4 linked regions of the Caenorhabditis elegans genome follow. The protein of the gene in region 4 purifies or fractionates together with the protein of the main gene of each other region. This does not show direct contact. Each region holds a gene or a part of one and is shown on either strand. Other genes may lie near its edges. The genes, in order: T02G5.7, aco-1, semo-1 and pcca-1.

Region 1 (3,731 bases), on a different chromosome or scaffold from region 4:
AAGTCAGTGCAATATAGGCGGGTCTTGCAGATCCTTCGCACCTACCACAACATCATAACTGGAAACTTCCACTACCCAAATGTGTCATCGTCGGTGAAGAAAGCTGTAACTCCAAGATACCCCTACATGCTCAGATCTGTTGGCGAAACAAACAAAGGATTCCTCAGAGCCAACCTCGCCACCTGGAACCGCCTAGCAAAGCAAATCCCGGAAAAATTAAATCGCTCTATGTTTGCTTCCCGGTTAAATTCTTCCCCCCTTAATATTCTCATTCCCCCAACTTGATCTCTCAAACTAATAATGGTTTATGGGATCATTTTATCATCCACCAATTCTTCCCTGTGATTATTTGTATACGATCTCCCCTTATATGTTTTGCCTTGAAGACGTGAATGAATGATATATCTCAAAAGAAAAATGCTTTTCCGATTTTTCCAGTATATCTCTTTTGAGATGGCTCAAAACCATTCCTGATAATGTACATATTAACCTTAATTCATTTCCCAATCAATAACACGTATGCACCATTTGAGAATAAACATTTATGTGACAAGAACCTTAACTATTTATAAATACGTAATCGAAATTTGTTGTAAAAGTGAATCAAGGAATGATGAATAGAAGACCAGAAAACATTTAGGCAAGAGGTTCATATTACAGTTTTTTGATGAGCACTGCTGTGGCTTCTCCTCCTCCGTTGCAAATTGCAGCTACACCGAGCTGTCCTGGAGCTAAAGAATATGCAAGGGAGTTGACGATTCGGAGACCAGACATTCTGAAAATTATTAAAATTAATATAGGTTTGTTCGGACTTAAAGTTTACTTTAAAATTTGTATGTTTTGTTTTTGTGTTTTAGAATGTTTTTTTGCTATCAGAATTTTCTCTGTACACATTCTAATTTTTCCGAAAACGCTCACTGAAGTTTGAATCAACAAAAAAACTTACCCAAGTGGATGCCCAATCGCTACTGCACCTCCTTTTACATTAACAACACTTGGCTCAATATTAAGTTCTTTGATGAAAGCAAGAACAGTGACGGCAAATGCTTCGTTGAGCTCCCACAATGCAATGTCTGAAACTTGGAGCCCGCTTTTTTTGAGAAGAAGACGAACGGCGTCCACTGGTGCCACGGTGAAATCAATGGGAGCTCTTCCAGCTTCAGCAAATGCCACGAGTTCAGCAAGTGGATGAGCTCCTTGTGGAAGAGCATTCTCTCCGACAACGACAGTTGCGACAGCTCCATCATTAAGCGAAGATGCATTGGCCGGTGTGATGGTTCCAGTGCCGTCACGAACGAAGACTGGTTTCAAAGAGGAAACCTAAATAAGTTTAATATTTTTGATAAACATTTTCTTTCTGCATACCTTTGACTCGATCAGTTTCTTATACTCCTCATCTTCAGTGATCACTACTTCCGATCTCGAAGTCTTAACACTAACTGGTACCACTTCTTCCGAAAACTTTTCAGAACTCCATGCATTTGAAGCTTTTTTATAACTTTCAATAGCATATGCATCTTGTTCTTCTCTAGTAATTCCATAATCTTTTACAGTCTTCTCAGCACATAATCCCATTGGACCTTTCTCTTTAATATCTTCAAGTCCATCCTTCGAGATTCCATCTGTCATCTGGATTCCTCCAAATGGAATTTCTCCTCTCGGCACGTAAAATGGAACTTGACTCATATTTTCAGTTCCAACAACAAGAATAGTGTCATAATATCCTGCTTTGATTTCCACAGCTGCTGTCACCAAGGCTTTCATCGAAGAAGAGCAAACCTTGTTCACCGTAACAGCTTGCGTTGTTACTGGAAGACCAGCCGACAAAGAGATCTGTCGGGTCACATTTTGTCCTAGACCGGCCGGAAGTACGCATCCACCAATTACTTCTTCGATTTTCTCCGGAGCAACTCCTAAAAATATTTAATATTTGTTTCAAAATTTCATTATCAGTAATTTAACCTGATCGTTCAATTGCTGCCTTTGCAGCGACCGTTCCGAGCTCAACTGCGCCAAAGTTAGCGAAAGATCCTCGGTAAGCTCCGATGGGAGTGCGAGCTCCACTCAGAATGAAAACTTTTTTATCCGACATTGCGATAGACTGTCTGAACTTTGGATTATTAGAAAAATCGCATACGAATAAAAAAAGATAACTGAAATTGGTTTGAAACCAATGAAAGAGAAGTAGATAATCAAAATAATAAATGAATCTATTTACCGGAGTTTCGATATGAGCGAAAAATACATAAATACAAGCTAATCGTGAAAAAAGGTAACAAACTTTAAACGAAAAAAGTTAAATTATAAATCTATAATTTCTGGATAACCATTCCACTTGAGCCACCACCTCCATTGCAAATGGCAGCAACTCCGATTTGGCCACTTTTGAGTGTGTGCACAAGATGAGTGATGAGGCGGGCTCCGGACATTCTGAAAGAAAAATAATCGATAACAAATTTACGATAAGAATGCGGAAAGAACGGTCAACTGATATGGCAACATACCCGATGGGGTGACCAATTGAAACAGCTCCTCCATGTGGGTTCACAAGGGATGGATCGACTCCTAGTTTTTTGATGAAAGCAAGGGGAACACATGAGAAGGCTTCATTAACTTCCCATTGAGCAACATCTGATTGCTTCACTCCTGCTCTTTCAAGAATTTTTGGGAACATCAAAGTTGGTGCTACAGCGAAATCGAGTGGGTGCGTGGCGGCATCTCCATAAGCCAAAATTCGGGCCAGAGGCTTTAAGCTTTGCTCGGAAACTGCTTCCTGTGAGGCAACAATGACAGCAGCTGCACCGTCGTTCAATGTTGAAGCATTAGCAGCAGTGATAGTTCCGTCTTAATATATTATGTTGATTTCAATTTTCACGATAAGAATAGTACAAACCTTTCTGGAAAACAGTTCTCAGCGAGGTGAACTTGTCGAAATTGACTTTTGTGAACTCTTCATCTTTATCAACAATCGTGACTCCCTTCTTTGATTTGACGTTCACTGGCACCACTTCTGGTCCGATATTTCCATTCTAAACAACATGGAATCATAAAACGCACAAAGAGCAATCAGTTGACAAACCTCCCATGCTTTAGCTGACTTTTTGTAGCTGTTGATAGCATATTCGTCTTGGTCTTTACGTGTAATTCCCATTTCTTTTGAAGTCTTCTCTCCGCAGTTTCCCATGTGAACTTTATCATAAGCATCGGTCAGTCCGTCTTTGACGATTCCATCCTGAATAAGAAAATGTGAGCATTGATTTCTTTTAAAGAAGTTTAAAGACTATTTTTAGACAATTTAATATTTTTTAGAAAAATAAATTAAACTCACAATCACTTGAAATCCACCATATGGGATCTCTCCTCTTTGAACATAAAATGGTACTTGTGACATGCTCTCCATTCCTCCGCCAATGGCAAAATCTTGATGACCGGTTTGAATTTGCTGGGCAGCAAGAATGATTGCTTTCAGCCCAGAAGAGCACACTTTATTGACGGTGGTAACAGCAACCGAAAGATCGAGTCCGGCTCCAAGAGCTGCTTGACGAGCGGGAGCTTGACCAGCATTTGCTTGACAGACTTGACCAAGGAACACCTGAAATTGAGGCATTTTAAGATTAAATCGGTAGTTTTTGGAAGTGATATAGAATTTCAGATATTACTAGTATAGAAAAATGCAAACAAAGAACACACTCGCCTCCTGAATTGAACTCGGCTTCACTGCTCCACGCTCC
Region 2 (5,737 bases), 3.7 Mb from region 4:
CAAAATTTACTTATTTTGAAATAAAAATATCTTTTGCGCTGGCAAGGGTCTCATATTACTTTAGTGATGTTAGCTATAGGGCAACTGAGATTTTATTGGGTGAGTGTGCACTTTTAAATGGGACTGAATAGTACGAATGAACTGCTGAAATGTTAGTCTATAAAAAGTCAGTTCAGTACAAATAAATACCGTAATCTCTCTGTTCATTTTGTTCAAACAACTAGAATGTTTGAGCTTTTACACCCAATTTTGTTGTTCTCAATGAAGATGTTTTCTTATTTATTTATACTCTTATGACTGAGAGAACAAAAAATACAATTAGTGATGACGACCTTTAAGAAAAAGTTGCAAAATGTTATATCCTAAACACTGTCAAACTGGAAGCACATTTCTTTCTCCTATAAATAGTAGAAATACGTTATTTGTTGAGTTTTAGTAAAATATTACGAATTTAAGTGGTTTTAGCAAAACAGAGACGCCAAAACTAAAATAAATTTGACCATCCACATGTTTTATAGCCCAATTATAAAAAGTATTGATTTATTTCGTTGCTCCAAATCACAAATTTATTGGACTTCAAACATGTTCATAAAATATCACAGAAAATAGAGAAGGATTGATGCATCGAAAAGTAAATAGTTATCTAAAAATAGAAAAAATTGACTTTCAAAAATTTAAGCTAAAATAACAGTTTATTGGATCAACTTTCTGATCATGTATTGGAGGATTCCTCCGTTGCGGTAATAGGTGAGTTCGACTTCAGTGTCAAATCTACAGATGACTTGGAAAACTGAACCATTGGATACATTCACATCAATGAGCTGTCCTGGCTTCAAATCGTCTGGAACTCCAATTGAGAATTGTTCTTTTCCAGTAAGTCCGAGACTATCAGCGTTTTGACCAGCTTGATATTGGAATGGAATAATGCCCATTCCAATCAGGTTGGAACGATGAATTCTTTCGAAGCTTTCAGCGATAACAGCCTTGACTCCTTGGAGGAATGGCCCCTTTGCAGCCCAATCGCGAGATGAGCCACATCCATATTCTTTTCCAGCAAGAATGATGGCTGGAATTCCGGCATCCTTGTACTTTTGAGCAGCGTCAAAGATGTCGAGCTCTTCTCCAGATGGCACATGGAGTGTAATAGGACCAACCTTCGACGCAAGCTTATTAACAAGACGAATGTTGGCGAATGTTCCACGAGCCATGATCTGAAATTTAAAAAAAAACGTGATGTGTTGTTAAATTCAAAGTTTTTAGAAAATCATATATTGAATGAATAAACTCTTACCTCATCGTTACCACGGCGAGCTCCATAAGTGTTGAAATCTCTTGGCGTTACTCCACGTCCAGCAAGGAATCTGGCGGCGGGAGAGGTCTTCGAGATTGATCCAGCTGGAGAAATATGATCAGTGGTTACCGAGTCACCGAGATTCAACAAAACGTGTGCGTTTACAATATCGGATTGTGATGGAAGCTCGCTAGTCATTCCATCAAAGAATGGAACCTTCTTGATGTAAGTAGAGGCATCGTCCCATGGGTAAAGCTTGACAGCCGGGCACTCCAATTGTTGCCACTCCGTGGATCCAAGCTCAATGTTAGCGTACACCTCGCGGAAGAATTGTGGCTTCACGAATTCCTCCTCAAACTTGGCAACTTCTTTTCTGGTTGGCCAAATGTCGGCTAGTCGGATTTCCTTTCCGTCAGGAGTAACAGCAAGAACTCCGTTAATGTCAACATTGACGTTTCCGATGATCGAGTAAAGAACAGCCAAAGGTGGAGATGCCAAATAGTTAGCACGAACATGTGGGTGAATTCTTCCTTCAAAGTTTCTATTTCCAGAGAGAACTCCGGCAACGACAAGGTTATTCTGAATAAACAATTATTTTGAAAAGAAAACAGTAGTTTCAACAATACCTCTTCGATGGCCTTTGTTACTGGCTCATCAAGTGGCCCAGAGTTTCCGATGCATGTCATGCAACCATATCCAGCAATATTAAATCCAATCTTCTCAAGGTATGGAAGAAGACCAGATGCTTCCAGGTATTTTGTGACGACTCCTGATCCTGGAGAGAGGGATGTTTTCACATATGGTTGGACATTCAATCCCAACTCAACAGCCTTCTTGGCAACCAATCCAGCTGCGAGCATGACACTTGGGTTACTGGTGTTTGTGCAGGATGTGATGGCAGCAATAACTACGGATCTGGAAGAAACATTATTTTTTGCATGTACTTCTAATTTATAGTCTTACCCGTGAGTAAGCTCTGCGGTTCTTCCGTGGTTGGTAATTGTGACAGATTTAGTGGCATCTTCTGGTTTAAGGCCAAAAGCTTTGAAGGAGATCTTATCAGTGAGCCCTTTGGAGAAATCTTGAGCCAGAGAAGCAAGCTCAACTCTGTCATGTGGACGCTTAGGTCCGGAGACACTTGGCACTACACTTCCAAGGTCCAATTTCAAAGTGGTAGTGTATGTTGGGCGGTAGGAGTCATCGGTGAAATTGACGAACATGCCAACAGACTTGAGGTATTGTTCCACGCGTTGAGTATAATCGGTATCACGTCCGGTTTGAGTGAGGTAGTCAATGGTACGGCTATCGACTGGGAAGAATCCAATTGTTGCTCCATATTCGGGGCACATGTTAGCAATTGTTGCACGATCGGCGATGGAGAGCGATGCAACTCCAGTTCCAAAGAACTCAACAAACTTTCCAACAACTCCGAGATCACGAAGGTTCTTTGTGATTGTAAGAACCAAGTCGGTACTGGTAACGGTATCACTGAGAGTTCCAACCAATTCGTATCCAATAACTTCTGGAATAACCATGGAAATTGGCTGTCCGAGCATCACAGCTTCAGCTTCAATTCCTCCAACACCCCATCCAAGAACACCACTTCCATCAATCATTGTGGTGTGGGAGTCGGTTCCAACGACGGAGTCAGGGTAGAGAACGCCATCCTTTCCAACAAACACTGTTCTGGCAAGATATTCAAGATTAACCTGATGGACGATTCCAGATCCTGGCGGTACAATAAGAAGATTGTCGAAAGCTTTGGATCCCCACTGAAAATAATTTGATAATACAATTTCATTTAAGCTATCTGAATATTTGTGTGTTCATTGAACAAAGTAGTGATAAGGGCAATCAAATGCATAGCGTGATTTTCCGAAAAGTGATGGGGAGAGTAAAACGTGACAGTGAAACTCTGAAAGTGGCATTTTCACCTTTCCTTACCTTCAAAAAGTTGAAGCGTTCTCTGTTTCGCTCAAACTCAATGGACTGATTCTTGGCAAGGGCTTCAAGGCTGAAAAAAATACAATAAATGTATAAACCAGGTTGCGCAGAACGTACTTTCCGTAGTGATCGACTTGCACGGAGTGATCGATGACAAGGTCAACTGGGCATACTGGGTTGATCTTGGCCGGGTCAGCACCCATATTTTGAACGGCGTCACGCATAGCGGCAAGATCTACGACGGCTGGAACTCCACTGAAAATTGCTTGATGTACATAAATTTGGTAATTTATTTTCAAGCTCACGTAAAATCTTGGAGAATAACGCGTGCTGGTTTGAAAGGAATCTCAGCTTGGTTACGCTGGCTGTTTTTCCAATCAAGAATGGTTTCCACGTCCTTCTTCAATACATGGAACTCATCGCAATGACGAACTGCGGCTTCCAACAAGTACTTGATGGAGATTGGAAGCTCGTCTGAAAATTTTGGGAAGGTTTTTAAAGAAAATGATTTATATATGACTTTAACATAATGAATTTATTCTTGCTCGTCGAAATTCGCTGTTTTTTTTTTCGTTTACAAAAGTTCCAAAATTGAATATATGCAGATATATTTTAGATAGATTGAGAATAGGATGTAAAATAGTTATACTTACTGTAACGAGCATCATTGAGACCATTCAAGTCAAAGTATTTGTAGACGTTATCTCCGATAGCCAAGTTGCGGATAAGGTTGTTGAAAGCCATATCTGGAAAGTTAGATATGGAAAAAATTTAAAAAAAAAAGGATTTCGATAGAAAAGAACGACAAAAGTGCATTGTAATGAAAAAGAGAATGCGAGGAAAACTAATGGAGGCGTGCCGAATCGGTGTAGTCGACCTGTCCGTTTTTGTGTGTGTCTGAGCGCGCTTAGTGTGTGTGGCTGTATTGAATGTGAGAGCGTTTTGTGTATGTTGTGTATGTGTGTGTGTGTGCCAAGGTCGGTCGAAGATAGTCATCTTTCATATCAGCTAGGACGAAATTGCGTCGTTGTCCAGTGTTTCTAGAAGGCTAATGTCGAGAAAAAAGGCGGCGAGAAAAAACGATACCATCTCAGAACTCAAGAAACAGTCAAAAAAGGTAAATGTGCACAGTGAAATAGTGTGCGGTGGGAAGAGAAGAAGAGGGCCGATCTGCATACACGTTGCGTACTTGACCCAAGAGGTTACGACAATGTTGCAGTGTGGTTTTTTTGAGAATTGAAACAATGCGCTCTCAGACATATTGAGAGATAAAAAGAAAATTCAGAGATTTGTGTCCGATATTTTTTATCTTTTGTTATCATTGATATCAGATCATTTAAAAAAGATTATCAAGTGGGAGAACTTTGCACAGATTGATGGTGAGGTGGAAATTCCTTTGGGAAACTGAAGAGCAAAAATTCGTTTTATTTTTCAAAAAAAAAAACATTTGAAAAAATGCAATCGAATCCATGCTATAACTAAACTAATACACTAGAATCTAGAATCACTAGAATCTGTAGTTCACAAAATTCATAGAGTACGGAATTTCTGTTAGCGTGACTAAAATTTACTAAGTTAAAAAAACAGAAGATGTTTGAGCACAAGCTGGTTGGTTTTTTGATTGATATTTTTGTTTCATATGTCTCTGTTCTTCATGATAATTTACTATATATAATATAAAGCGCTTATTCTGTGTGTCCATAGTTTGTAGTCTATGTAGTCTTTGTAGTCTGTGAAGTTTTGACTTCTGGAGGGATAGTGAGTTGGGGTTAGTGTAGGGATATAGTCGGGGTACTGTAGTGGTACAATAGTGGTACGGTAGGAATACTGTAGGGTTACGGTAGTTTCATAAAAATTGATTTTCAGCCCTAGAAGTCGGGGGCCGCGCCGAAGGTGCGGACCACGGCTGGTTCATAATATTACAATTACCGTTTTTCATAGTTTACCGCGTATCATTGTATAACCATGTTTTATTCAGAAAGACTTTGCATATATATTTTTATTTGATCCCAAGTTGAGATTCATAGAAACGTATTTTATTAAAATTGGTCTCACAATCATTCCCCGTATTACCTCTAGTAGCCTTTTAAGTTGTAAAAAGCAAGACAAGTGCTAACATGTGTAAACGTTTTGAACAAGTCTAGGTTTATTTTTTCAGGAATTGAAGAATTATCTGAAAATTCTACAAGGTACGCCTTGTCTTGTCCCGAATTATTGAAATACTGATTGAAGTTCTAATATTAGGATGACTCTTAGAAATGCAAGAAAATTACACACTGTATAACTAATAGGGAGTACACTTGGTAAATGAATAACACTGTTAAAAATTCTGAAAACTACCAAAAAAAAAACTCGGCTTGTTTTTTTAAAAGTATTTTCGTGTGTTTCGATGATGTTGCATTAGACAGTGTCATAGTTCTACGCTGAGATCCTATTAATGTATTCACAACAACCTAGTCATCAGTGTACATCAGAAAAACGTAGGATTCGACGCTTGTTGTG
Region 3 (7,974 bases), on a different chromosome or scaffold from region 4:
ATTTTTGAGATATTCAGAAAAGTTGTAGGTCATTTGAATCAAATGTCTTTCATTTTTAAAACTTATAAACACACAGTGAAACTGAAAATAATTTTGTTTTTGAAAAGGATTATTTGGAAAGGTGACAAAACTGTTTTGAAAACAATTAATTTTGGCTCAGACGGGTTTAGTTTGCAGGAACTTTGTTAGTTTTCCACTACTGTCTATTCATATAATGAACTGAACAAAAAATCAAAAATGAAAAAGACAATCGATAAAAGGAGCCAGTTTTTATTGAGGAGAATTCCGGATGTTCATATATTTTCTTCCTACTTTCTAATCCATAATTTTTTTGTGCAATTCTACTAAATTCCCGTGATTTCAACTCGCCACATTCTTTGTACCATATATGATGATTGCTTCGTTCACATTACAAAAATCCCCTTTTTTCAATATTTATTCGCCTGGTTTCCCCCGTTTTTCTAGTTGCATCATGAGTTGAAAAATCCTTTCAATTTTTTTTTGAAAATCTGAATGAATTGTGATGAATATGTACAAGCTAATTTTTTATGCAAAACATTTTAAAAAAAACCAAATTAAATCCAAATATCCGATGTACAATCTCCACCGGGATAACGCATCTCGTGAGCCAAATAGGGACCTCCTTCAATTTTTCCAAAATCGATCAAAAAGTCTCGATTTATTTCCATTTTTCCAGATTCTGGATCAATGTTGACTTGAACCATTGTGGCGCCAGATCTGAAAAATGACAGGGTTGCAAACGCGCTCCATTGAGAAAGTAGGACGAATTTGGTGTTTTTTTTTTGAAATTATCATGAATTATTAAGCGGACGAAAAGAAACATTACCAAGTCTCGACGTGACTATTTTTTCAACGGAAAACGTGTGTGCGCCTTTAAAGAGTAGTGTAATTTCAAACTTTCGGTGCTGCAGCTATTGAACTGTTTTATCGATTTCTCATAGTTGTTCTTTTTTTTAAAAATTATTTAGACTAGAAAAACAAAGAAAAACATGAATTCGTGATAAAATCAACTCAGCAAGTGAGAGAGAATCGCTGCAAATATGAAAGATTTTTGAAACGGTGATTTTTTTTCTAAACAATAATTTCACCATGAGCGTATTTTTAGTGTAAACTACAAAATTCGAGATAATTTGTTTCGTAAGGACAAAGGTTCAATGAATAAAATGAATAAAAAAGAATTACATTTCGCGAATAGCCCCACAAGTGAGCGGAAATAGTTTGCTCAAAATATACTACATTTATGAAACGGTAACTTTTTTCTCAGAAATAATTCTAAATTTTTTCATAAGTAGCACTCACTTGACATGTTCTGGATAGAATTGATCATCCCATTTCTTGTATAAAGAAGTTGTAACATAAAGTCTCTTTCCATCCAATGACAACTGTAACATCTGTGGACCTCCTTCAATTTTCCGTCCCTTCACATAAAGTGCTTCAATTGGTTTTTCACCTTCTAGAACTTTTACATTTGATTCCGTATGTACACTTCCTCCAATATAAACTTGAGAATTCAATTTCACCTTCAATGGATCAGAAATGTCATATTGACGAATATCTCCATGAAGCCAACACGAGACATACAGGAAACGATCATCCATTGAGATAAGGATATCAGTTATAAGAGCTGGCATTTCTGGAAGAGCCCATCCACTTACTTTTTTAGAAGGAATGAAGGCAACGAGAGTAGCTGCATGGGTTGTTGAGTTCTGGAATTATTTGAAAAATTGAATGTTTCTCATTCAACGTATCACTGAAGATTTGTTTTCAGTAGTATTCAACAAACATTTGGCAACTATTTTCATACTGACTATCAGAATTTTGAGATTTTACAAGAAAAAAAATACAAAGTGTGTTAAAAGAACACCTCGAGAACAGGAAAGAAGCAACTTTTCTGAAAAACTTTATTTTCAAAAAGAGGTTATCGCGAACTGTCGAAATAAGTGTAGGTATATGCGCTGCCAAAATTATATTAACTTTTTGAAACAGTAAATTTTATGTTTTTTTGTAATTTTGCCTGAAAAGTTGGTGGCCATTCACAAAAAATAAATTTTTTGATCGAGCTTTTTTGTTTCAAGGGCACACTGCTGAAGTGGATATAATTTTATTTAAAACGTAATTTTTGTTTTCAAAAGTTTACACGAAAATCTACTGTTTCAACAAACTCATTTAACATCTCGCTAGAAAATTGTTTTCAATTGAACTGTGGCGTGACTTATCGACTGTTCTAAAAGAGCTTTAAAAATCATGAGACATTTAATGTTTCGATTGGCTGATTAAATGTTTCAAGTTGAACAAGGTGTCAATTTTTTAAAATTATATGTTTCAGATGATCTAGAAAACCCGGTGAGATTTCTAATTGTCACTCGAACTTGATTTCCAGTGAGACTATACTTTGCACAGAAAGGAATTTTTGTTTCGCAGCAATGCAGCAGAAGCAGAGATAATTTTACTTAAATCTGAAATCGGTTTTTTTTTCAAAAATTTAATAAAAAAGTCTATAACTCATTAAACATCTTACTTGAAAATTATTTGATTGCATTGACATTGCTAGAAAAACTAACAAAATCATAAAATTTTTAATGTTTCAATTAGCTGATTAAACGTTTTGGTTTGAATAAAGTTTCACTGAGACTATAATGTCCGCGCTTTAAAATTATTTTTTAGTGTCGAAAAAAAAATATTTTTTCTTTCTTTAATTGACCGAGTTTTCTTGATTCACAGTCACGCAGAAAAAATCGATTTGAACTTTTTGTCAAAACTAAATGCATGCTGCTTTTTAAAAAAAGGTTCATCAAAAATCTACTGTTTCACTAACCTAATTTTAAAAAACTCGGAAAAATACGTTTTTAGTATTTGCATCATTGTTAAACGTTTAATGAATCTATAAACTGATTTAAAAATAAATTATTAAAAACACTCAAAGATATTTTTTAAAAATTATTATATGTTTCAAGTAGTCTATAAATACTGAAACTATTTTGAATTAATATTGGTTCTTCCAAATGAAAAAAAAGAAAAATAGCAGTTTGGTCTACACAACTTTCTCTGAATTTCAAATTCAAATTATGCCCTAATCATGTATGCCAAAGCATTAAAGGATTTGAAATGTACGAAAGCGCTCTGATTTTCTCAAAATGTCCACATTTTTCTCGAAAGTTAGTCATTTTGCCAAAGAACTTGCTCAGAAAACTTCGGGAATGAAAAAAAATCAATTGAATAGAACGGAAGTTTTGATAACAACGTATTGAAACAATTTATTTATTTTTAAACTTGAAAGTTTCTAATGCAATGTTTCGGTGATCCCAGAAAGTTACACATCAGCTTACAACACTGCTATTCAATTACTGACAACGAAAATATCAGTACTATTGATAAATTGTCAACTCCCCCTACGAAGATCATTTATATTTGATTTCATACGTTTTTTTGGATTAGCAAATGAAATAAACTTCCAATAAGATACAATATGATAACCTATTGAAACAGTTTTCTAAAAGTTTTCTAAAAATTCTTTTCAATATTACTCACCTCCTCAACAGGATGAATTCTAAAAACCGGATCTATTTCAATAGATGACAGGAATACCAACAGAACTAAACTAAAAACAACAGAGTGTGTTATGAGGACAAATTGAAACTGAAAAGTTTTTTGAATGTTTCAATGTTTTCGTAAAATCACGGCATTGATCTCCAAAACTGTTTAACCATTTTCAATTGACTGAAACTTTTGAAAAATCAAACACTCTACTGAAGAGTTTTCATGGAATAAAATTTGAGTACTCTGGAAGAAGCAACAGTTTTGGAAACTTTGCTACCTCCCAATCAAGGATGTGCGGCAGTTCTCAAAATTTTCCGAGCTCGGCAAATTAGTTTTACAATAATTTTAATCTTGATTCTATTCTACGGTTTTAACATATTAATCTCAGTTTCTAAACAAATAATAACTTATTGAAACATTTCAATTTTTCTGAAAATTCTATTGAATATTACTCACCTCCTCAACAGGATGAATTCTAAAAATTCCTGATCCAAGAGCACATCCCACAAAAGCGTGCTCACTGGTTGGCTCATGGAGGAATCGAACTTCAAGTGGAAGTGCTCCAAGTGGCTGTGGTAGATCAATTGTTTGAAGATATTTCTTAGAGTCCCATTCGAAAATATGAACACTGTTTCCGTAGAGACCCTCTCCGACGTGAGCTGGAAAATTTCATGTTTTAAAAAAATTTGTAACTTTTTGGTTTTTAGTGATGCTGATGGCTCATGCCGCAAGGAATAATTTTAATTTTTGGTAAAATGAAACAAGAGGTGTTGAAACAGTGATTTTTTAAAAGTATTTTCAGTTTTCCCACCTGGATTAAATCCCTTTTTAATATGATTCGGTGATCCCCATTCCGTAGAAATCATCACATTTCTCCTTGGCTGGTACCAGAAATCATAGTTAAACGGAACAGTCTTCTCGTCAGCTGGCCATGTTCCTTTCGGCTCAAATGTCTTTCCATCCAACAACAAAAAGTTACCAGATGGAGTTCCATTAGCTTCTCCCAAAGTACTAATCATAATATTTCCATCGGCAAGACAATGTGAAGTATGTGGAAATGAAAGGTTTAGAGAATGAAGTTTTGATGGTTCAATTGTATGTTCAAGATAGATTTTACGCTCATTTTCTACGTTGATAATGTAGATACGGTCAGAGTTCAGGCAAGGAACGATCAAATGGGATCTGAAATTATTTAGAAATTATTCTACTGTTTTGGTTTGTTAATGAAAGTTCTCCGATCTAAAAATTTATTGATCTTTCAGTTGACTGAAATGTGAAGTTTGTAAATTCGAATTAAAAAACTGTTTCAAGAAATTGGTTCAAGTCTAACTAAATTTATAAAAATGATCTTCTCGTGAATGTCGCTCTGATCTGATTTTATTACAAAGCTTTTGCATCCGTATCAAGGGTCGTGGAAAAATTTAGGTTTATCAGTTTTTTCTTGAGAAAATCTAAAAATCAGAAAAACAAACAAGGGAGAATCTATAGATTTATCAAATATATGATGATTTTGTTTGAAGAATAAAAAAAAACATGTTATTGTGACCACTTTTTAAAAAAAAAAAGTCGGAAAACCACACTTCAAAAATGAAAATTTAATTAAAAAAATTTTTAAACAAAACTTGATGTTTCGAACAGTTGATTTAATTTTGCCACCTGTACTAATAGAGTAATAGTATCATCCTAAAACAATAAATATTTTAACTAACCTCTTCTCAGTTGGTTTGTCATGACAAGAAGAGCACGCATTCCATCCAGTATGATGGACTTCATCACCAATATGTGGCACATCAACTCGGCTGATCACCTGAAAATATTAATTTTACTGGAAAATGTTATGATTGATCGATCTCTAAATGCTAAAACTACGAGTGGATATCAATATTTTGAAACCGATAATTTTTTCAATTAAATAATAATTTTTAATTTTTACTATACAATCATATATCGTGCAAATCGATTTAAAACTCTTAAGCTTGAGATAACCTTGAAATCAGAGAGATCAAATCAAAGTTTCCTGATTTATTTTTGGCTGATGCAACAGAGATGAAAATTGCAAAATTGCAATTTTATTCCGGTAATTTGAACAATTTTTCTGATATAGAAACAGTTATTTCAAGCTTTATGGACGTGATCTACAAAAGACAATCAAAAAATTAGTTATTCCTAAAACTCAATACGTCTTTTTGAAACAGTATTTTTTTCCTCCAAACAAGAAAAAAAATCAACTTTACAAATAAAATTTACCTGACAAAAAGTGTCACTCTCTGGATTCACATCAACTGTAAAAATGGCATCAGGACCATCAGCTGCATTTGGAGCAGTCACAAATAAAACTTCTTCTCGTGGTCCTTTTATAGCATCAGCTGGAGATGCATATCCTGGACCACCATGACATTTTAAACCACAGTTTGGGGACATTTTGGTTTTTGGGATTTTTGATCTGCAAATATTGACTTTTTTTTAAAATCAAACAATATAATCAAATCAGTAGTATGGATTAAAAAGTTACATACATACAATTTTTTGCTGAATTAAACTATAGCAAAATTAAATTTTTTTCAAGTTTGACACTATTTTTGTAGCTTTGAAAACAAGTTGCACGAAAACTTTTGGGCAAACATTTTTAGCTTCAGAAAAAATTACTTTTTTTGTCACAGCTCTAAAAAGGGGAATGTAAAAATTAAAAAAAAAATACAGCGAAAATTTGTAAGTTAAAAAACTAACGCGGATGTAGCAAAACCAAAAAAAACTGAAAAATGTGAAACTTATAAACACACAGTGAAACTGAAAATAATTTTGTTTTTGAAAAGGATTATTTGGAAAGGTGACAAAACTGTTTTGAAAACAATTAATTTTGGCTCAGACGGGTTTAGTTTGCAGGAACTTTGTCAGTTTTCCACTACTCTCTATTTATATAACGAACTGAACACAAAAATCAAAAATGAAAAAGACAATCGACAACAGAAGGGGATGACATTGATAAGGTATCACTAGCTGTTCTATGTCTTATCTCTAGCAGTCATCAAGATGATTGTTCAATGAACCAACTAGAAATCTACTAGAAACACGTAGGAAATTATTCTGATACAAACTACAAGTACCGTTTCTGGTTGAGATTAATTTTTGAATTTAGAGATGAATTTGTGAACATTGTGTGACTGATTCAAAGTGCACAGATATTTTGATAACATTTTTTTTTAATTTTGGAAAACCGATCTGACTACAAAACGTGAATTTATTTGAAATTGAAAATAGTGAGTTTTTTCGTTTTTAATTTATCTTCTGATACTAGGCTTAACAGAAAAATAATAAACAATTATTCAGGGTTGTGCGCGCGACAAATTCCAAAATTTGAAGGACAAAATTATTGATGAAGATGGGATCAACTGTAAATTATTGAAAATCTCCATGAGGATTCCTTGAAACAGTAAAAAAATGTATCGCGAATATAGCAAATTTTTAGAAAAACTCAGCTTGGGTTAATTAAATTTGCAAATTTCTTATTACGTTTTCCACTAATAAAAAGGTTTAAACAACAATTTTATTTATTTTTTATTTATTTTAGGTGCTGCAAACGGCAAACGGCAAATGTCACTCGCTAAAAAAAATTGGTCGACGATGAAAAAAAAACTTTCGGCGTCTTTCAGCATGCGAAATTTTTTTTATTTTTATTTTTTTTTTATTATTGGAAATATAAACAAATTTGAATATTAAGTTGTTCATATTTCCTCATGAGAACAGTCATTCAAATCCACCTTAAGCATAAAAATCTCCACAAATATATGGGGAAATTACAGTTAATATTGCTACATGTTAATACTGTTACAATACTAATAGAAAACTCATACCAATAGTAAAATGAGGCATGTTATCAATCTTTCATTTGAATTTTATTGGATTTTCACATTGCTTCTCATTGTATTATATAAAATTTATTGAAACGCCTAATGAAGTTTTAGTGAAATAGTTAAACATTTTTTTGCAAACTTTAAGCAAACGTAAGCCGTTAATAGCTTAACTGTTAACTGGTGCAATTTTGCTTAAATTTGCAGTTTTGAAGTTTTTCTACAATCGGTAAATTTATTCACATTTCAAGTTAGTCTCGATTTGAAATGCAAGTTGAGCGCTTTTAATATGTTTTTTTCACATAAAATTTAATATTGGGGTTTTTTTCAATTTTTCCGATTTTTTAAAAACAATCAATTTTCAAAATTTCTAAGTCAAAATTTCTAATCAAGACAAATTTGGTTACAATTTTTTAAAACATTTTTTGCAAAAATTTTGGCACGGTGAAGTACGGTGTTTCAAAAAAAAGTATACAAAACAGTGAAGCAAGCAAAAGTCTGTGAATTAGACAGAAATGAAAATTTAAAAATACATAAAACTGAAGCGCAACGGTGGGAAATTTGTAAA
Region 4 (5,907 bases):
AAAATATTGACATTATTTATTTTCTCAACTAGAAGTTAACAGAATTTAACAATATCAGTGTGACACTACTCACACGAAACCAAAAAACGTGAGTTAAAATGAGATTGAAAAGAACAGAAAACGGCAAAAAAAACTGGAAGAAAAATTCTTCTTTTTCTTCTTCCCATCATTTTCTGTTTCATCTTCTCGTCTCAACTCGTCTTTTTGTCAATTTTCTTTCAGAATAATCAATTGGCACTGCTATTCAATATTTTGAAATTGAGATACATGAAAGAAGAACATAAAAAAGAGAAATCTGAAATTTTTAAAACAGATTTGCAAACTGACAAGTTTTTTCACAACGCTTATTTCCGAGCTTCAATTATGGACTATGGTAAAATGTTTAGTTTACACAAGCTATTTCACAAAAAATAGAAAATTTAATCAACAAAACATCTGCACTTATGTTATGTAGAAACAGAATAGATATATAATTTTCTAATTGAAAAGTTCAAAAAATGAGCAAATGCTTTTTTTTCTTCATATAACAACCTTTTTGCAATGCCTTCTACAATATTTATTCACTACATAATACTTGGGGCAACAAAACAGGGTGGTGGCTGAGAAATACGTCCGTGATGATTGGAATACAACAGGTGAGGGTAATGGCATCAAAAATAAAATATAAATATGGCTTGAAATTTGAGAAACTGCGAATGAAATTATCAATCTCCATACCAGATAGTGGCGGCTTTGAATTGTACAAAATTAGGAAAAAAACGGTAATTAAAACAACAAAAAAAATTCAGGTTCAGTGAGAATAATCTACTCGAGCTCAACGAGCACCTCTCCCTCGTCGACTGTGGCTCCAACCTTCACATTGACGGCCTTGACGCGTCCGGTCTTTCCAGCATGAAGACTGTTCTGCATCTTCATAGCCTCCATGACAACTAACTCTTGTCCCTCGGAAACCATATCTCCTGGCTGTAAATTGAATCAGTTTTAGCACATCTAATGGTAGTGATAAAATAATGTTACCTTAACGTTGACGTTCTTGATTGCTCCTGGCATTGGTGAGAGCACAACTGTGGACAAGTCAACCTTGGCCTTCTCCTTCATGTACTGCAAGTACTTGACGGCCTGCTCTGGAAGCACCTTGACCTTGAATGGAGTTCCCTTGTAAAGAACGGTGATCTCTCCGGCGCGCTTGCCAACAATTTGGGTGGTGATGTGCTCTCCATCGACTTCAATTGAGTTGACTGGATGAGACAAGTTGAGATCTCCACTGATAGTCACAGTCTTTCCACCAATACGAACTTGGGCCTTGTTGGCGCTTCCTTCGACAAATTCGACTTCAACAGCGTGCTCGGTTGGCCTCTCACCCTCCTTCACTGGCAGAGAAGACACGAACTTGTAGGTCTTCGAGAAGGAAGCCACATGAGTGCTACGTTGTTTGTTCTGGTTCAAGAATTGATTGGCACGAGCAAGTTTACGAGCGTTGAGAGCCGAGGCAAAGGCAATGACAACGTCTTGCTCTTTTGGTGAGAGGCTGGTTCCCTGGAAGCCTTCTGGGTACACTTCTGGAAGATATTTGGTGGTAATGTCTCCAGTACGGAATCTCTTCTCTTGGACAATATCACGAAGAAGTGGAATGTTGTGAGTGACTCCACGAATGACGTAGTTGTCGAGAGCCTCTTGCATGCGGTTCAGAGCCTGTTCACGGTTGTCTCCGTGCGTAACGAGCTGAAATTACAAAGTAAGTCACTTGAAATTATCTAAATGCTAATTTATCCTTTACCTTGCAGATAAGTGGATCGTAGTAGATAGAGATTTCCGATCCCTCACGGATTCCAGAGTCGCAACGAACTCCGTCGACGTGTTTTGGCTCAACATATCTGGAGAGACGTCCGACTGATGGAAGACCGAATCCCTTGTATGGATCCTCGGCGTAGACACGAGACTCGAAAGCCCATCCGTTGAGTGGCACTTGCTCTTGGGTGATTGGAAGTGGGTGACCGTAGGAAACGCGAAGCATCTGTTGGACAATATCGATTCCAGTGATGCACTCGGTAATTGGATGCTCGACCTGTGAGTATTTAAAAATTAAACATTTAGGCCATACTGAGATATTACCTGAAGACGAGTGTTCATCTCCAAGAAGTAGAAGTTTCTCTGAGAATCAACGAGGAATTCGACGGTTCCAGCAGAGTCATAACCGACAGCCTTGGCGAGCTGAACGGCCTGTTCTCCCATTTTGCGTCTCATCTCTGGTGGCACAAAGCTGCTTGGAGCCTCTTCGATAACCTTCTGGTTTCTTCTCTGAATGGAGCATTCACGCTCGTTGAGCCACAAAGCGTTTCCATGCTTGTCGCAGAGCACCTGCATCTCAATGTGCCGTGGGTTGTCAATGAACTTCTCAACGAGCATTCGATCATCTCCGAAAGAAGAAGCTGCTTCTTGCTTGGACAAACGGTATCCTTCACGAGCTTGCTTGTCGTTCCAGGCAACTCGCATTCCTTTTCCACCACCACCGGCAGAAGCCTTGATCATGACTGGGTATCCAATGTCGCGGGAGACTTTCACGCACATATCCTCATCAGCAATTTCTCCGTCATATCCTGGAATCATGCTGACACGGGCTGCGGTAGCGATTTTCTTTGAATGAATCTTGTCTCCCATATCAAGAATAGCCTTAGAGTTTGGTCCGATGAACTTGGCTCCAGCCTTCTCAAGCTCGGCGGCAAACTTGGTGTTCTCGGAAAGGAATCCATATCCTGGATGAACCTGCAAATATATGTTTTCAACGTTTTTAGCAGTTCTGTTTGAAAAACATAACAGAAGACACTTGCAATCTATCTCTCGTCATTTGACTTTGACTATTTGAAAATGAAACACGCGAGATGCTAGAGACTGGAAAGAGACCACTTGGTCACTTGTCACAGAATTTTTGTTTTGTTGTGTTTCGTAGTGAAAGTAGGTGAATATCACGTGCATATTACAAGTAACTGGTTTCTAATATATTACGGTAAATCTTAAGCTGCTACACAGCCAAAAGCTCTCGCTCGGGTTGTCAAACTGTTTGACCCTAGCTTGTCCTCTGAAAAATGCGGTAATTCGTGCTTTTCATAATTTGACCTCACCACAGTTTTCAACAGGCCATAAGAGGGAACTCTAGAGCTTCATCACTTCAAACCCTCATATCTCAGCCAGGTGATATGAGCATGAAAAAATTGAGCATTATCAAAATGTAGGGAATGTTTTATTTCACATTTTTTCAGTCAGCAACTTTTTTAAGCTATTCTCTCCGTTTGAAGTTAAGCGCGAACGCTCTGACTTCTTGAACAGTAGTAGTTGATTTGGAGCGGTGTTCTGAACTTTTGCAAAAACTCTATTCTCTGTCGGATGTCTGGGTAATATGTTTGTGCTACTGTGCATGTAGATTCATGCCACAGAATTTACATTCTCCTCTGATATTTGATTTTTGCGGTTTATCCTTCCATTACATAGACACGTTAGAATTCTTACCGCTTGAGCACCGGTGTCCTCGACAGCTTGCAAGATGCGGTCAGCACGTAGGTAGGATTTGGCAGTTGGAGCTTCTCCAACACATACAGCCTCATCGGCCATCTTTACGTGAAGCGAGTTGCTGTCGACATCTGAGTGAACGGCCACTGTCTTGATTCCCATAGCTCTGGCAGTTTTGATCACGCGACACGCAATCTCTCCTGTAAAATAGACGATTAAATCTAAGATTCTTTTAGATGCTTGAGATTACCTCTATTGGCAATCAAAATCTTGTCGAACTTTGGCTCATTGTAATCGATTCCTACAGTAGTGTAAATCTCCTTTCCCTCACGTTCATCAAGTGGTCTGAAATTGAACCTATTGATCTCAAAACCGAATACAACTTTCAGAAACTTACACTCCTGGTCTGGCAACAGCAGCAGTTGCCAATCCACGATTGGCCACAGCGCGGATACTGGATGCAGCACGGAGCATGGTTCAACCTAAAAACAATGATTTTCATGATAAAATGAACAACGACATCAGCAGTTCACAAAAGAAAAAAGTAAGATGATGGAGAAAAACAGTTTCGTGTATAACTTCGATGGAGAAAGATAAGGACGACCGATTTGATTTGGTCAGTTAAGTGATAAACAGCGATGCCTTGAAAACTCTCTTTATATTGATTATGAAGGAAAACTTCGACTAGTAGAAAAAATAAGAAAAACATGCAGAAATGGCAACTGAGCAACGAAGTAAATAGCCTGGCCAGAAAAGAGAAAAGCAAGAAGTGCGGTGCCCTTGTCCCGCAACAAGATTTTCACAAAAGTTGTCTATCTCTCTTTTCTGATGGACCCAAAGCGCAGTTGCCCCGCTCTCTCTCTTTGCCCATTTCTTGCGATTTTGCACGTATTCGTCCTCTGAACACACACACGCAGAGAAACCGAGAAAATCACCGGGATAGGTTGAGAGTTGGAAAGACGACCTCACAATGTTACAATGAAGAACTTCGAATATAATTCATAGTCCAGTCTGCACGTTTTCTATAATTTTTGAACCGAGAGTCCTACAAAAACTAATAATTTTACAAAAAACGTGTATGCGTGAAACGGAAAATCTAAAGACTCACACAGTAAGTACACTCAATACACAAAAAAAAACGGCAAAATCACCAAAAACAGGGAAGAAAAAAGCCGACCTTCTCTGGCAACAGCGAAGGCAAGAATGACCTGCTCATTGACCACTACATGATCAATAAAACAACAAAAAACAGTCCAATAATGCGCGGGGTTGTCCAAGATATCTCACACAGCAACCTCAACGGAGCGCGTTTGCAGTGATCTTCTCTGCGTCTTTGCACACACTGGCCTTTCTCTCGACATGTTGTTTATTTGAGAATGTTTCGTTGAGTTTCTTCATTTTATTTGATAATAAATGGTCGTTCATTGCATTGGCAAAAAAAAACAAAATTAATACATTTTAGGAACTATCAGACACATTTTCAACTACTAGTCAATTATTCTTCCTCTGCTTGGCTTCGTATCGACTGAGAATAGAGAGTGACGGGAAACCAAGAATAAACGTTTGGACAACCCATTTTGCGGTAGAAGCAAAACTGAAAATACAATTTGTTATAAAATCAACTGAAAAAGTTCACCTGATATTGGCTTTATGGCAGAGATAAAGAGCGTAAAGAGCTTCACCGGCGTGTGCTACAAGGGCGAAAAGGTTGGTTAAAAGAGCAACAAATGGATACTCAGTTCCAATCTTATGGACGAGAGATCCAATTAATGGAATATTAAGTGCTGCTGCTGGATGGGCGTAAGAAATCTAAAAATCAAAGATATAGATCGAAGTGGAAGCTTTGAAATATCTATTTTTATCAAACATAGTTTTTTTTCACTTGAAACCTTAAAACTTACGTAGTTGATAGCCAGAGCTGGAACAATGAGGAGCCACCAGAAGAGTTGTGGAGTTTTGTAATAGTCCGACATTTCAATAAGTGTCAGTTTGCAAAATGATGGATCTGAAGCGGAATACTTAACACCCAAATAATTACGAAGCGACCGGCACACTTGAAGAGAGCAGAAACTGAAATAAAAAATTAGATTTTATCATGTTATCATTAGTTGGCTATATTCTACATAGTGTACGAGAATCAAAAAGTAAGTGGAGATGAATAGTTGGTTTCTTTTTTTTTTGATTCTCTCAAACGATAGAAGAAGGGGTGTCTTCGTGTAATAGAGGAGATACTATCTGAATCAATAAGGACACCAATGGTGACCTCAATAATAGAGCGTGTAAAGACAAACTAGACGCAGACAGAAAAACAATTCGGGCAGCTCTTTTTGCGAATACGAAAAGTTGTACAGTTCTCAAAAAAATAATAATAAGACGCGAAAACAGGGCATTGATTTTTAATTT

Evidence for each region.
Region 1: the proteins of pcca-1 (region 4) and T02G5.7 fractionate together in Caenorhabditis elegans (co-fractionation; one large-scale study listed by BioGRID). This does not show direct contact.
Region 2: the proteins of pcca-1 (region 4) and aco-1 fractionate together in Caenorhabditis elegans (co-fractionation; one large-scale study listed by BioGRID). This does not show direct contact.
Region 3: the proteins of pcca-1 (region 4) and semo-1 fractionate together in Caenorhabditis elegans (co-fractionation; one large-scale study listed by BioGRID). This does not show direct contact.

Annotation. Positions count from the first base shown.
Region 1 is NC_003280.10:7,073,988-7,077,718, reverse strand, and holds T02G5.7 (Acetyl-CoA C-acetyltransferase), read right to left. Parts: upstream 2,106-3,731; 5' UTR 2,093-2,105; coding exon 1,963-2,092; intron 1,914-1,962; coding exon 1,366-1,913; intron 1,321-1,365; coding exon 947-1,320; intron 776-946; coding exon 655-775; 3' UTR 531-654; downstream 1-530. Other genes in the region: kat-1 (Acetyl-CoA acetyltransferase homolog, mitochondrial), read right to left, coding at 2,310-2,430, 2,505-2,844, 2,894-3,029, 3,080-3,232, 3,329-3,592, 3,695-3,731.
Region 2 is NC_003284.9:11,338,118-11,343,854, reverse strand, and holds aco-1 (Cytoplasmic aconitate hydratase), read right to left. Parts: upstream 3,982-5,737; 5' UTR 3,980-3,981; coding exon 3,889-3,979; intron 3,710-3,888; coding exon 3,541-3,709; intron 3,491-3,540; coding exon 3,353-3,490; intron 3,306-3,352; coding exon 3,236-3,305; intron 3,064-3,235; coding exon 2,255-3,063; intron 2,207-2,254; coding exon 1,918-2,206; intron 1,871-1,917; coding exon 1,292-1,870; intron 1,212-1,291; coding exon 693-1,211; 3' UTR 528-692; downstream 1-527. UniProt on the Caenorhabditis elegans protein: Catalyzes the isomerization of citrate to isocitrate via cis-aconitate. Has probably no RNA-binding activity.
Region 3 is NC_003282.8:14,049,227-14,057,200, reverse strand, and holds semo-1 (Methanethiol oxidase), read right to left. Parts: upstream 6,002-7,974; 5' UTR 5,980-6,001; coding exon 5,806-5,979; intron 5,707-5,805; exon of another isoform or gene 5,686-5,706; intron 5,408-5,685; exon of another isoform or gene 5,387-5,407; intron 5,366-5,386; coding exon 5,268-5,365; intron 5,253-5,267; exon of another isoform or gene 5,232-5,252; intron 5,206-5,231; exon of another isoform or gene 5,184-5,205; intron 4,927-5,183; exon of another isoform or gene 4,906-4,926; intron 4,834-4,905; exon of another isoform or gene 4,809-4,833; intron 4,741-4,808; coding exon 4,370-4,740; intron 4,293-4,369; exon of another isoform or gene 4,272-4,292; intron 4,218-4,271; coding exon 4,015-4,217; exon of another isoform or gene 3,550-4,014; intron 3,465-3,549; exon of another isoform or gene 3,440-3,464; intron 3,377-3,439; exon of another isoform or gene 3,356-3,376; intron 3,230-3,355; exon of another isoform or gene 3,209-3,229; intron 3,033-3,208; exon of another isoform or gene 3,011-3,032; intron 2,893-3,010; exon of another isoform or gene 2,872-2,892; intron 2,707-2,871; exon of another isoform or gene 2,686-2,706; intron 2,669-2,685; exon of another isoform or gene 2,648-2,668; intron 2,406-2,647; exon of another isoform or gene 2,385-2,405; and 20 more.
Region 4 is NC_003284.9:7,657,001-7,662,907, forward strand, and holds pcca-1 (Propionyl-CoA carboxylase alpha chain, mitochondrial), read right to left. Parts: upstream 3,987-5,907; 5' UTR 3,979-3,986; coding exon 3,902-3,978; intron 3,850-3,901; coding exon 3,755-3,849; intron 3,705-3,754; coding exon 3,505-3,704; intron 2,764-3,504; coding exon 2,113-2,763; intron 2,066-2,112; coding exon 1,778-2,065; intron 1,723-1,777; coding exon 1,018-1,722; intron 964-1,017; coding exon 805-963; 3' UTR 512-804; downstream 1-511. Other genes in the region: dhs-29 (NADP-retinol dehydrogenase), read right to left, coding at 4,996-5,098, 5,141-5,313, 5,406-5,574. UniProt on the Caenorhabditis elegans protein: This is one of the 2 subunits of the biotin-dependent propionyl-CoA carboxylase (PCC), a mitochondrial enzyme involved in the catabolism of odd chain fatty acids, branched-chain amino acids isoleucine, threonine, methionine, and valine and other metabolites.